2 linked regions of the Ovis aries genome follow. The protein of the gene in region 2 interacts with the protein of the main gene of each other region in a pairwise test. Links are inferred from orthologs where the notes say so. Each region holds a gene or a part of one and is shown on either strand. Other genes may lie near its edges.

Evidence for each region.
Region 1: the proteins of CRK (region 2) and PTPN4 interact in binary tests that used the Homo sapiens proteins (3 or more experiments, as listed by UniProt). The link is inferred for Ovis aries from reciprocal best matches to the Homo sapiens genes CRK and PTPN4.

The regions. Positions count from the first base shown.
Region 1 is NC_056055.1:185,171,631-185,179,163, reverse strand, and holds part of PTPN4 (tyrosine-protein phosphatase non-receptor type 4), read right to left. Parts: intron 4,597-7,533; coding exon 4,554-4,596; intron 4,478-4,553; coding exon 4,378-4,477; intron 320-4,377; coding exon 275-319; intron 5-274; coding exon 1-4. UniProt on the Homo sapiens protein: Phosphatase that plays a role in immunity, learning, synaptic plasticity or cell homeostasis. Regulates neuronal cell homeostasis by protecting neurons against apoptosis.
Region 2 is NC_056064.1:22,457,534-22,465,066, forward strand, and holds part of CRK (adapter molecule crk), read right to left. Parts: intron 5,692-7,533; coding exon 5,554-5,691; 3' UTR 1-5,553. UniProt on the Homo sapiens protein: Involved in cell branching and adhesion mediated by BCAR1-CRK-RAPGEF1 signaling and activation of RAP1.

The sequences.
Region 1 (7,533 bases), on a different chromosome or scaffold from region 2:
CAATCTAATAAAATAAAACAGAAAATAACCCAAGGTTAAACACAATCGTTTTAAAACCATTATAATTTAAACTATATTATTCACACTTGAAGTTTCCAGGTGATTTACATGTTTATTAAGTAATGAACTTATCTGATGAAAGGAATTCATGCTACATAGGGCCATCTTTCAGTAGATCATCTTTCAGTAGATCTGTTTGCAATGATCACAAACTACTAAATGCAGAATTTAAAGTATTTTTAAAGCCCATTACTAAAAATTTAAAATAGCCCACCTTCCAGTAAGAATGTCTTGTTTGATTTGCAAAAAATACTGGTACCTTGGGAAAAAAAAAAGAAAATTAGTATTTATTGGAATTACAAAATTTAGAGTTTTAAAAACTGTATATTCACATTAACAAATAAAACTGAAATATGTGCTTTTTAATGAACATATTAGCACATGTAAAGATATTTTAAAATAAACTTTCATAAATTCATGAATCCAAATATTTAGATTTGATAAATGAAATTTTATACTCCAAACATTTTATTTCCCTAGCTTCTATTATAAAACTTTCATGATTTTAAAAATTACATGACTAAAGATGAGGGAGAAATATTCTGAAGATTGGTGTTTGCCAAAAGTAGAAATGGGAAGCACAGGAAACGTAAGTCAGAGACAGACAGAACTGACAGTAGCAACACACTACCAATCAACTGCAGAAAGTCACTCTTTCTGCTGAGCCAGGAGGCCAGCTCCACGTGGTGAGCCTATGCTGCGCACTACAGCATCAGGCAACAAGAAGTTGCTAACTGTAAAAAAGCACTTTTCCATCTTCATTTGAGTTAAGAAAGCTCTCTTTGATCAGGGCGGGGAAAGTTCCCTTCCCTACTGTTGCTCTACTATTAATATTGCCAAGTAGCCAATTTCCTTTAAAACCAACAAAAATTTAAGTATCCTATACTAAGAATACCAAAGTTGCTCACAAGATGGCCTTGCCCTTCTGTCCCTGCTGGTGGGTACAGTCATCCCCTGATTGGGTTTATCGGTGCCTGGGTAAAGGCACTGGTGCTGTATCATGTTGGCAGAAGATAAAATTGTGTGATTTTTAATGTTTAAACAGAGAATTAAGACTTTCATTTCACCCCCTAAAAAGAGTACACAAGAGTCAAAATTATTTACAATTTTAGTTGTTTGGCTATTACAGTTATTAAAGAGTTCCATGACAATCAAATTACCAAAGAATGTAATTAAGATTTTCAGAGAATCAGATATAAAACAGCTGATACCAATATCCTGACTTCATATATTAGTGAAGTACATAAACTCTTGTGAGGCTTAATACATACTATTACAATATTACCCATGTACTCAACCCAAGACAACATATTTCTATCTGGTTTACTTGATTTCATAATTAAAAGTTAAAAATTTCTAGTGGGAAACAGTCTTATAGTTAAGATTGAAATGTGTATATCCCTGATATAATACTGTAAATCCTATACAAATAACATCTATGCTTCCTGAATTTGATTTACACACTGAGCAGTAAGAACTGATAGAATAAAAACCAGAATTAAAGTCCTAAGCTAAACCAGCCTATGATCTTTGGCAAATTACTTAAAATTTGGTGGAGCCTTAGTTTCTCTATTTGTAAAAAGAAAGTAATATCACTTGCCTAGTATATGTATCCCAGGGGCCCTAAATATGGTGATAAAAGCCCAATTTTTAAAGACAATTAAAGACCTTTAAGACAGATTAATAATGACTGAGCTAAATGTAGAGATGATCTGTTCAAGTTGTAAAAGTAATATAGTAACAGATCATGCACTGAACACCTACTATGTACTGAACATACTGAGCACTAAAAAGGTACAAAAGAAATGTCATTTGTATTGTAATGCTGCTGCTGCTGCTGCTAAGTCGCTTCAGTCGCGTCTGACTCTGCGACCCCATAGATGGCAGCCCAGCAGGCTCCGCCGTCCCTGGGATTCTCCAGGCAAGAGTACTGGAGTGGGTTGCCATTGCCTTCTCCAGTGTATTGTAATGACCCCTAAGAAAATGCCAACTCTAGTTATGCCAGCACCTGTTAATACAAATGACATTTAACCTGATGAAAGGTCTGTAACTCCTTTTTTTTTTTCTTTTTTTAACCACTAATCCAAAAAAGAATCTCAAGGCAAGGAGGTACAGAGGTAGACTTCCTTTTTGTGGGGCTTAAACCGGTCCTTAAAACGGAGCCACTGTGTCTAAAGGTGTCCTACCCCTACTCATGACCATAACAAGAAGGCTACCCAAGCACTAAAGGTTTAAAGGAGTCTTTTTTTTTAAACCCTGGCTGCATATTATTAATAGAATCACCTGGAAGCCAGGTCTCATCTGATACCTATTAAATCAAAATATCTAGGGGTCTGGCCATGCTATCAGTATGTTTTAAAGCTCCCTTATGGTGATTCTAACTTGTAATTAGAGTAGAAAATCCTTGATGTATAAATGGTAATAAAATTAAAATTTGCCATTTACTCATTTTACCAAAAAGCACCAGTTACAAGATTCCAGGACATTACACTATAAAGGACTTTTTAAATAATGCATTATTTCTAGGAAAAACATATTTTAGACTGATAAGACTTTAACACAATTCCACTACTACTACCAAATGTGATTTTACTTTATTCTACTTCATGAAGATAGTTTGACTTTAATTATCAGTGAAACATTTATTCCCTGGTTATGTTTTCAACACAGGCTATAAAAGAACCAACACATCAACCTTATTAAGAAATTTAAAGACAGTGTTTTGAGTGGAGTAAATTATGACTATAGCTACAATTGACAACATTTAAATTGCTATGCTAACAAAGTTTTCATAAACATTAAACACATTATAAATCCAATAAAAAATTACTGGTCTTTTATTTTTCATATACATTTAAAAACTAATTACATAAATATGTATTAAGGAATACTTGGTTACTTGATTTCAAGTTACATGTACCAGTAAAAAGTGCATTTTAAAATGCTTTATAATTCCCAATTTTCAGTAATTCAGAGCAGTTTCCTTGCAGTTCATCCAAAATTTGGGAATGTTTTATTATACTGAGAACTATTTATTACGACAAAAGATCCTATTACTTTAATTATTTAACGACAACAAAATCTGACTGATTAAGAGTTACAATATTAAACTAAGGTTTTCATACGATACAACTTTGCCTTTCAAGATAAATTATATTGGACATTATTAGTGTCAAAAGTTAGGACTACCTAATCCTGGATCTATATGCCTGAGTTGTTACAAAAATGGTAACACCCTGCCCCACAACAAACACATAGCAAAGGACTCTCAACAGTACTTTGCTTCTCCACTTTACTGAACTATTCTAAAGGATAATGAAGACGTTAGCATCTAACAGCCTACCTACAGATAGCTTTAGGTGTGTGCGCGCGTGCTAAATCGTTTCAGTGTTTTCAGACTAATTGCAGCATCAGGGACTGTAGCCCAGCAGACTCCTCTGTCCATGGTATTCAGATATTTAATTTGTCACTTATCTTTTAGAGTAATTCTGAATACAGCCAATGACCTATATTCTTATATTGTGTGGAAGGTATAATATACTAATTTTTCATTCTGTCTTTAGAAACAAAAACCACTAATTCTGTCTTTCAAGCAATACGTAAGGTTATCATTCAAGTTATTTTAATAATGACAGTTACCACACTGTAATTATTCCCCATGGTTTCTACCTTAAACAGTTCACCTAACATTTATGTGATATCAAAATGCTCATCTGGGTCATTCTTGTGTACATTATGTCAAGTAGAAGGGACAACAGGATTAACTGTAAATGAAGATCAAACTTAAAATGGCCAGTGGTGTGGGGATTTTCAGCCTGAATGTGCCAGTGCACTCTCTGCCAGCATGCTCTACAGAGATACCTGCTGACCATCACTTCTACACACAGCGGTTATACATTTAATAAATTCTATGCTCTCTTCAATGGAAGTAAAATACAGAATATGCTTTCACAAGGGGGGAAAAAAAAACTAGATAACAGTCACTATGCAGAATACCTGGAATACAACTGTAGCATCATCTAATTACTACAATTAGTGACAGCAGTGCTTCTGAACCATTTTTCATAAAGTTAGTATCTCTATGGCTCAGGAAACTGCTTACAGCTGGATGAGCTAGCCCTAGGGTTACAACCTCCTAAATCTCTCCCAGCCATTCAAAAGAGGAGGAAGAAATTTATCTTAAAACATCCACAACCTATTCTGTGTGCTGGCAGGGAAGCTCAGAACTATGTCATGGTCATCTATTTTTGCCTAATTTCAAAATTTCGTAAGAGTTTTGACAATACTTTCAAGTAAAAATATGCTCCATAAACCCACCTTGTATATTCTTCTTGTAACTTGTTGGGGTCACTTACAAAAAATTTGACTCTAAAGTTCAAACTGTAAGGAGATCCTCCTAGAATTAATAAAAGCAGTTCTAATTAATCAGATTATATTAATCCTTTATATTTATAAAGTATATTTTATAACATCAAGTAAATATGTTTGCTCACTCTTTAGCTGCTTCCTTATTGGTTTGTTTGGATCCAGCCACCTCTGAAAAATAAATAAATAAGACTGATTTGTTTTTTCCTTGATGAACTAATACATCAATTCTTACAAATCTATTCCATTTGAAGATTAATGCTAAAAATTGCATTTTTTGAAAAGGCCTACTAGGTGAGGGGGAAAAATCACTAAATTACAAACTCATATCAAATGTAACAAAATTCTACAAGAAAGTTACTGAATATATTTGTGATTTAAGATTTTGATTTTAATTTCTCATTAAGTTATACAGTATATAATAAACTCTATTCCAAAAGTAAAAATGCTTCATCACTACAATATGAAGTGGTTCTGTTAAGTATTAACAGCCTATCAATTTTTAAAAATTCTCTTTATCTCTCATAAAAATACACTTGGCTTTATGCTCTCATTCAGGCAAAATTTACACATCATGAAAATCTACTAGTATGAAAAAAATTTAACTCCTTCTCTATTCCTCGAAAAAGAAAATAAAATACTCCCCCCCAAAAACATCCCACACTAATTTTTTTAAGAGACAATGTTTAGGGAAAGACTGCTTTTTTGTATATGAAAATTTCAAGTAGTCTAAACACTTCTGAATGCCACTTAAGCTCTATTTCAGGAAAACTATAAATTCAGAAAACATTTCAGCAGCCAATGTTTCAGTCAAAAAAATTAAACAACCCAAAACGAGGTCATAGATATGGCAGTATTTTTAAAGCACTAGAAAAATATAAGCTTGTATGCCGTTACTTATAAACTATCCTACTACCACCCACAGTAGATCCAATAAAGTGCACACAAATAGATTTTAGAAACAAGAGGCCGAAAGTAATCCATTAGTCTTCTTTCCACTGTCCATAACATCCAACATATCAAATCCAACTAATTCTACCTCCAAATCATCCCTAGAATTTAACAATTCTTCTCCACCTACTCTGCTACCATCCCTTAGCCTCTTAATAATTGTAATCTGTCTCTTCTCTTCCTCTCATCCTTCATCCTCCAGAAGCCAGTCCTATTTTTTTTTTCTTTTTGGGTCTTAGTTGTGGCCCTTGGGATCTTTGACCTTCGTTGTGGCATGCAAACTCTTAGTTGTGGCACGTGGGATCTAATTTACCAAGGACTGAACCCAGGCCTCCTGCTTTGGGAGCTTAGCCATTAGATCACCAGAGAAGTCCCTAGAGTAGTCTTTAAAAAGTGTCACTCCTTTGCTTGGCATCTCTTGATGATTTAATTTAAGATCCAAAGGCCTTACTATGGCTTACATGGTCTCTCCTCACCTCTTCTTTTTTTGTTTCTTTAATGTTTTATTTGCCTCAGTTAATTTTAAAAATGTATATTTCAAAGAGGCAATTCTAGACTCCTGATAAGTTTTAGAAGCCTTACAATACCAATCAAAATAGGTGTCCAGTTCAGATTTGCCAATTCCAGATCTGTGGCTGTCAAATTTTTTTTTACATATCCACATATCTACTCTCTTTTAGATTATTTTCCCAAATAAGCCAATACAGAGTATTGAGTATAATTCCCCCGCTATACAGGAGGTCCTTACTGGTTAATTATTTTATATACTGTAGTGTGTATATGTCAGTCCCAATCTCCCAATTTATCCCCCTTCCCTCCCTGCCCTGTAACTCTTTTTTTTTTTTTTTCCTGCCCTGTAACTCTTAAGGTTTGTTTTCTACATCTGTGACTATATTTCTGTTTTGTAGATAAGTTCCTTTGTATCCTTTTTTTAGATTTCATATTTAAGTGATATATTTGTCTCCTTAACTTCTTCCACCACAGTTTTCCGAGCTTCAGTCATAATGGCCTCCTTTCTGTTTCTCCAAGATGCCTTAATTCCAAGCACCCTGATGCAAAGAATGTCCTTTCCCTGCTTTTACCATGGTTGATGGCTTTCGTTATCTGTCTCAACTTAAATTTCACATCATTAGAAAGGCCTTCATTGACCGCCCTATCAAAAGTATGTCACAAAGCTCCTATCTACTTAGTTATTTTCCTCTGGTAAGGAACATTAAATTCCTTTGTAACATTTTAAATGCAATGTGTTTGTTTTACTTTTTATTGTCTATATTCTTTTGTAGATTATGAACTCCTTAAGGTAAGGAATAATACCTGATTTATTCAAAGTTGAAGGGTCAGTACCCAGCACAAAATATAGCATATACCATCTACTAAAATTATCTGGTGAAGGGCTAACTAACCCTGTTGAATGACTCCGCAGTTTCTATTTCTGTGCCAATAATCAGATGGTTTTACCCCTACTTAACATATCTGTTCCCCCTAGGCATCCACCCATTTATCCACAGTCTCACTCATGTATTTATTAATCTAGTGATTTTTTTCCTGCATATTTTCTAGAAAAAAAAAGCATAAATTATATTTATTTTACTGTCTAAAATAAAAACTTGGGACCATTTAATTCCCCATAGCCTGCCTTCCTCACTCAGTTCCCCTTCAAAACATTCTGATATCATAGATCCGCACATTTAAATATACAAGATCTGTGAGGCTGGCACAGCTTCGAGAAGTACACTAACAGGCACTGGGAACTGTCACAGATTTCCTCAGTGATGGCAATTAGATAGGAGGTATACTCTTGACTTAAACCATGAAGATGGAGCAAGATGAACTTGAGGGTGATGGGGTCAACTTCACTCCCTCCACCCCAAAAATTCAGTTCAGATTCTAACTAGCAATTGTTAGTGAAATCTTCATAACATTCAATCTTCCTCATCCTGAACATGCTATTTCCTCATTTACTCATGTCTATTATCTCTTCCTGTTAAGTTTTATGGTTTTCTTCCTATAAGTTTTGATACCTCTAATATCAAAAGTTTATTCATAGATATTTAATGGATTGGGGTTTTCAAAAGAAAATCTATTTAATTTGCTATTTTGTTGGATTATGTTCCCTAATCAGTTCATAGAAAGTGATTGACACTTTTTTTGTTCAGT
Region 2 (7,533 bases):
CGGGTATCTGAAGCATCTTATTTCTACAAAGCTTTGGCATCATGTGGCCCTAACACTCTGCCAGATGGTCAACCTCTCAACTATTCAATTCACCTCCCTTGTATTAGTTGGAGTAGGCTAGCTAATTCAACCTTAAAACATATGGCTGAACAAACGTTAATTTTGTCACCAGGCTCCCCAGGTCGCTCAGATGATAAAAAAAATCCACCTGCAACATGGGAGACCCAGGTTCAATTCCTGGGTCAGGAAGGTCCCCTGGAGAAGGAAATAGCAACCCACTCCAATATTCTTGCCTGGAGAATTTCACGGACAAAGGAGCCTGACAGGCTGCAGTTCAAGGGGTCACAAAGAGTCAGACACAAGTAAGTGAGTAACACTTTCACTTTTTCAAGCTGGTCATCAAGCCAAGGTGCCCCTCTCAGTGTAGTCACCTTGAGCTCATGTGGATGAAGGCTTTACCCTGGGTGTCATCTCCATTCCTGCCTGATAGGAAGAGCATGGAGGAGCTCCTAGAGGAGCTATCTAGAGGCCAGGCCTGAAAGTGGTGCAGGTGCTTCTGTGCACAGTCCATTGACTGCACTCAATCACACGGTCATGTGTAATGCAAGGGAGCCTGGGAAACAGTGTGCACAGGAAGAGAAGACTATGGCTTTGAGGGAGCAATCTGCCACACCCCTTATATCAGTTTATCCGTGGATTCCCTAGGGATTAAGATATCTGGATCAATAATCTCTGCTTGAGAACAGGTACCCACACATAAACCATATCCTAACTGCTACTGAAAATGCTGATCAGGGACAGAGTTAAAGATCATTACATGCATTCCTTTTTCCCTAGACATCAGGTTTTTTTGATAGCTAAAAGCGGTACCTATCAAACAGATCTCACTAGAAAGAAGAAAGTCAACCCTGTTGGTCCAAATTCTAGCTGCTAGCCCACCAAGTTGTGTGTTTTATCTTGGCATTATGATGCAACAACTCATGTTATCCCCTGGTTCTTCCTTATGCAAATGTTGGTTGCTGTGAAAACAAAAATGCCTGCCATTGATCAAAGGGCAGAGCTTGCTAAGGAACAAGAGATGACGAGATGGTTCAGGCATAAACCTAACCCTGCACTCGTTTATTTAACAAGGGATATAAGAAACGGGCAACTTCTTATTGAAAAGAAAAAGTCAAAGTAGAACTTGATTCTAGTAAGAGAAAAGATGTGGCCAAAGAATTTACGTAAACTGTTTCCTCTGCTTGCACTCTTTTTGGAGGATGGTACCTGGCTTTTTTTTGTTGTGGTATCATAAGGCTCATAAAAGGATTTGGGCCTCAGACTTGGGACACTTTTGTCTACTTTCTACCTACTCTGACATTAGAGAGGGGCCAATGCAAGGAGATCCAACCAGTCCATCCCTCTAAGTGATCCATTCGCCTCTCCTATGGGGGGGAAAAGCAAAGCAAAACATGAAAGCACTGGAGATCTCAAGGCTGGGCTTTGTCAAGCATTTCACATTTCAGAAACAGAATGACCTACGGAGTTCGGTGTTACTTTAGCCAAAATTAAAAATGAACCTACGGCCTTGGACCATACCCAAGACCAGGGGTGCTGGAGAGAGCAGCTGAGAGGTAACCAGTCGGGTCCCTATTCCCCAGACTCAAATCCTGCCAAGGAAAATATTATTCGATCAACAAATATATATTTTCTGCTGTGAGTCAGGCTCTGTCCTGGGCTCTGGAGATGATGAACAAGTTAGACGTGGCTCCTGTCCTGATGGAACTGATTTATAGTCTAAGGGAAGAGGCGGAATAAAATCAGAGAAAGAATAACAATCTGAGAGGAGTGCTGAGACGGGACTTAAGAGATCAGGGAAGACATCTCTTGACAAAGCAGCATTTAAGCCAGAACTGAGTGGAGGCAAGTTAAGCTTGCTTTCAACCTATATCCCAACAGAATCCTTAAGTCTTGCTCTTTGAAACTCGATTCTTAATAGCAGTTCTTCTTGGCCCCCTACCTTATCTCCCCATTTCTTTTTCTTCATATACGTAGCAGCCGAGTTCCAAATTCTTAGCTTCCTCCTGCAAAACTTTGGAAGACTATTTTCATATTTTCATCTGTGGACAGGGCCACTTCTCTCTTCACATCTGTAAGAGGAATAGACTTTAAACTGAAGATCAGGGTCACAAAATACAAGACTGTTATGAGTACTCCAGGCTATGTAAAGAAATCCAACTCCACCTATCACAAAGATTTTATTTCTAATTGATAAAAAAGTGGAAATATATTTAAATCACCTTGCTGTTAAGTGTGTGTACAGCAAACATGGCTCCCTTGCAGTGGCTGCCTTTATTTACCTCTGGGTTGATATTCTGCCATGTATACAGCAGTAGCTAAACTGTTCATTTGGGTTCAAGGCAGAATACCCGCTGAATGACTGACCACACTTGTCCTTATCATCTTAGAACTGCACTATCCACAGGAACATAAGACTAGGACGTATAAAGTGACCTTTTTAGGTATATGTATCTACACACTGTGCATATGCATCTAAATATACATGCGCTTTGAGAAAGCATGGGAAGAACAAACTTTAACTTTTTTTTTTTGTTTTTTTTTTGTCTTTTTTTTTTTAACTTTTTAAATTTAAAAATTATCTACACTGAAGTAGGATCACTTACATAAAAAAAGGGGAAGTTATACTGAATATCTCCCCTAACATTCTAAAAACCTATTGTGTAACAGCCCACTTCTCACTTGCTTTATGAAGACCCCTACCACAGCCATATTTTCTGTGAACCCAAGTGTGATTTGGTATTACCTGCTCACATCATTCCAGCTTTCCAACCCTTATATAATCATTCTTCTTATATTCCCCTCAAATCATTATTTCTGGACTTCTGGAGACCCTTCAAAGTAACACCAATGATTGATCCCATTTTTATGAGTACCCACAGTGTGTATAATTGTTTATATGATTTTTCATAGGCTGTTGAGTACTACACACAACTCTGACTCCCTAAGCATAAAAGAGTCAGCTCTTTTGTGAAAAATATTCAAAGATTGCTTTCTTCAAAAGATCACCAAGCCAAACATTTGGCCATATTTTTATTTACTACATATACTATAAACATATACAATACATGCTACAAAAAAAAATTTTTTTTAATTGAACTGTCAAGAAAGTGTATAGTGTTATAATACAATGGCACATGTTTCATACTTTATTTCAAATTGGTTTGCTTATCATCCATTTCAAACCTTTAATAGTGAAATGTTACTTATGGATAATTAAAATTATCTATTTGCATTATTAACAATAAACAATTCCAACAATTAATAAGAACTAACCATGTCAAATATTAGTATCCAAAAAAATGGGTTTTTGCAGAAATTATTATATAAAATATAGCAGCCAATTTCGGTTTATTTTGCTCAGTGACAATGTACATATGCACTTGAATAGGATTCTTGCATTTGCTTTTGGAAGATACTTATAAGAAGTCCTCTGAGTTCTTAAGGTCCAATGACTGCCAAACCCAGCCAAAACCAACCCGACAACTCGTGTAATGGCTCTGGACAACCGATCACTGAGAAAGTCTTCTGATTCGGGTAGAGCTGCATGTTCCACCAAAATTACACATGAGGAAGAGAGACATTACAAGCCAGTATCAAGGTCAGAGGCGAAAAAAAAACACAAACATTCAAATCAGCTGTGACAAAGCTTTTCTACAAATATTTTAGATGTCATACTTTCAGGAAAACAAGACTTAATGTGTATTGGGTTTTACAGTATCTATGCTCTAACTGAAAATTTAAGAGTCATCAGATGGAATTAAATCTAGTATTGCAAACCTGTCCATTCAACATTATTGAGCACCCACTATGTGCATAGCACTGTGCCAACATTTTCAAAGTTGAGTATTAATGTCTTTATCAAGCACTATCTTAGTGTGAGGTAAAAATATATTAAATTAGCGTCAACTCATTAGTTTGCTTGTGGTAATGTATGTAATCCTGTGCCAGCTGGCTTCCCTGTGCCATATAATGAGCTTCTGCACACCTCGCATTCCCTCTCACAATCTGTATGCCAGCTGTGCCAGGCACAGTGCTAGTCACGGGGATATCATGATTTGGCATACATTCAATGAATGCGAATTAATCTTAACCTAGGCAAAACAACTGGAAAAATACATTACTTTTCTAACATGAGGCCCAAAGCAAAGAACACGGTGTTTCTATTGGTCACATCACACCACAGACCAGTAAGTGCCTCTAGACTGGGAACTAAATTTGAAAAAGTTTCATACGGTAGTCTAAATAGCCTACATCATTTTTGGTCTCAGAAGTCAATTCTTTGGAGCACCTGACCCTATATAAACCATTCCATATTTAAAAGGGTTTGTAAACTAAAACACAAAGAAAAAGAACCCCAAGTGAAGGCAGTTTATAACATAGTGTGTTTCAAGCACTATTCTGGCCATATGAAACAAATAATACAGAAGTAATTCATGATTGGTTCAAACATTTTTCAAAGCACTAAAACCCTATCCCCAAACTCATGTAATCTTAACTTGATTTTTATACAAGTTGTACATAAAGCAAAGGGCAGAATTTGGCCCCCCAACCATCCATGGAATATTCTAAGTGATTGGTCCTTCCACTCCAAGTAGAAGCCAAGAATTCCAAAAAAGCCCCTGACAGAACAATGGCACTCAGGAGAACGGCATGCTGGGTCCCATTAGCCAGGAGTCCACTGAACTGCGGTAGCAATGTGAACCTACTGTGACCCCTCGAGGGATGGCAGAGAGCTGGGAGTTTGGCTGTCCACGCAGTGAATCCAATACTGGCTTAAAGCTATGCACTGAATAAAGTGCTCTGCACATCCTGCTTATCATCTGGAATGAAAATAAACACTTATCTTGAGAATTAACCTATCTGCAGGTTTGGGGAAAAGGAATTACAAGGCTTGAAAGAATCCCAAGAAAAAGTATGAAGCATTGACTGGGAAGGAAGACAAATGCCTCTAGTAGTGTCCTCAGAATTCTCAGGATTTGAACTGTCAGAATGAGTCACACAATGGTCATGTTCCATAAATGAAAAAGCAATCCCACTGGGTACTATTCACACGTGCATGATTACTTCATGGGGTGGAAGGGAACAGTCTATTGCCATTTGACAGCATGGTTTCAGAATGAAAACCAAACCATTGAATAAATCAGGGTAAGTGGTGTGCAACACTTCTCTCCCGTCCATCAATTTTCCACAGGTTGATTTGTATTGCCTGAGAAAAGGGAGGCAAGATGCCGCTCCTTTCAGATACACTCAGGCAACGGTGCTACCACCTAAAATCACCAATTCAAAAGTTAACACACAAGCCCTCCAGTTTCGTACCCTGAATATGGTAAATAAGACCAGGGATGGAGTAGTTCAGTCTAAAAAAGATCACAGGCAACAGAATGCTTATATAAACTAGACTGCTTTGACATCTGTAAGAAAACTGTATAGATGGCAATTGGAAAAAAAAAAGATTGTTCCCATCTGTCAGCAAAACTGTTTGTTGAGCTATACTCAGCTGAAGTCCTCATCGGGATTCTGTTGATCCAGCAGACGGACATGTGTGAATGGGAAGTGACCTCGTTTGCCATTACACTCCCCTTCCCACTGACCACTCACATTAATCTTCGTAACCTTTACCAGCTCACCGACCTGCAGGAGGAGAATAAGGACAGCACTTTATTTCCAGTTATGAATGCAAGCTGAAAAACTCCATTCTCTGGTTAGCCATACCCTGCCCATGTGATTGCTCTAGGGCTGATATTACAGAAATGGCTATTTGCTGCCTCCCAAGCCCCAGCCACCAGACCGATTACTTATGGTTAATGCAGGCAAGAGGAAGAAGTGATTTTAGTAGTGCAGAGAATAACAGAGTACAGAAAATAGGAGGGATGCTAGAAAATGACACCTTTTGGAAAGTTCAAGTGTCTCTGGAGCAGCAACCCTACCTAGGATGATCTATAGGCCCTGTCTTTGTACCCACTACTCTTAGTTTCCTGCCTGGTCCACACTGGCCCTCCCCTCTCTGGCATAAAGCAGTGGAATCCCCTAGCCCACTCTTAAACACACATCCTGGCCTGGTGTTGCTTGTAGAGCAGAAGGCAATCAGAGGAAGCATACTTCATTTGGTCCCAGAAAATGGAAGTGTTCCCATCACCGTCCTACCAAGGCAAGGCTTTCCCCACCTTGGTACAGGCCAAGACTCCAAATTCCATCAGCTTCCTGAAAGCCTCAACCTTCTTCAGCTAGTTTTACTTGGCAGGCCACTGCCTGCCAGTCCCCACCACTACCCACCCCTAGCAGGTACTGACAGACTTTGCTGCTCCCTCAATGCCACCTGGTACCGGTTCCTTAACAGTAGGAGGACATCGTGTTTCTGCTGTTACCAAAAGTTTTCCTGTTGCAACATGAAATATTTTTGACAATCTAGGATATACCTGTATCTTACTATGAAACTTAAAAGACAAGGTGTTTGATGAATGGATTCACCCTGTAGCAAAGTATTTAACAATGGTGAGGTAAGTTCCCAAATGTCACTAAAGAGCTTTATGACTCTCCTTGAATTATCAACATCTGAGTTCTGCACATGCAAGTGGTTTATAAACGTTACTGTTCATTTGGTTTCATTAATAACAATATTTAACTCCCATAAAGTACTATAGTGCTTTATATAAAATCATTTTCTAATAATCATATAATCCTATAAAATAGGAATTCATTTTACATATGACATTCAGAACAACTACATGTTACATCTGAAGTCACAAAGCCAGCGACAGGGCCGAGATTTGAGCCCAGAAGTATCCAGCTCCCAAACCCACTTATGTTCTTCCACTATATTAAGAACTTTCAAACTATGCTCCCCTAGTCCTGCAGGTTCCTTCCCTAGGAAGGCCTGCAGGCTGACTACTGGCCAAAGCCAACTCAAGTTTAGGCCAGGGCCTTCTCTTAAACCAGCCTGATCTCACTCACAGAGGAAATAGGTTACCTACTGACCTACCTACAGTTTCCTAAAGAATTATATGAAAAGCTTAGAGGCCTAAAATGGCTGCAGGAATCATAAGATGCTGAGAAAAGGAAGAGAGAAACCATGGAATATTAGGGAGACAAGGGATAAGATACAAGGGTGAAAAAAGACAGCAGCTTGATGGGTTGATGATGATGAAGGCTGATGGGGAAAGGTGAGGAGAGAGGAAAATGACACTGCATATCTGTCTTTGCAAACAGATCCAACTCCTATAGGCTCTAGCACCCAGGGTTCTGTTTATTACCAGCAATCTTCCGATTCAATTCCTGATATCTGAGCAGACCAACTATGACAAGCAAAAGTTTTCAGTCTTTGTAGAGGAAGATCTGAACATCACAGGAGAAGTTCCTTGGTGGTAAAAACAGTCTGGAAGACTTCTTATATCTCCAATTCTAGTTCTCAAGACTACCTTACTGTTCTCATCTTTTAAAAATTCTTACAGTATTACAAGAAGTTAGCCTCTATAT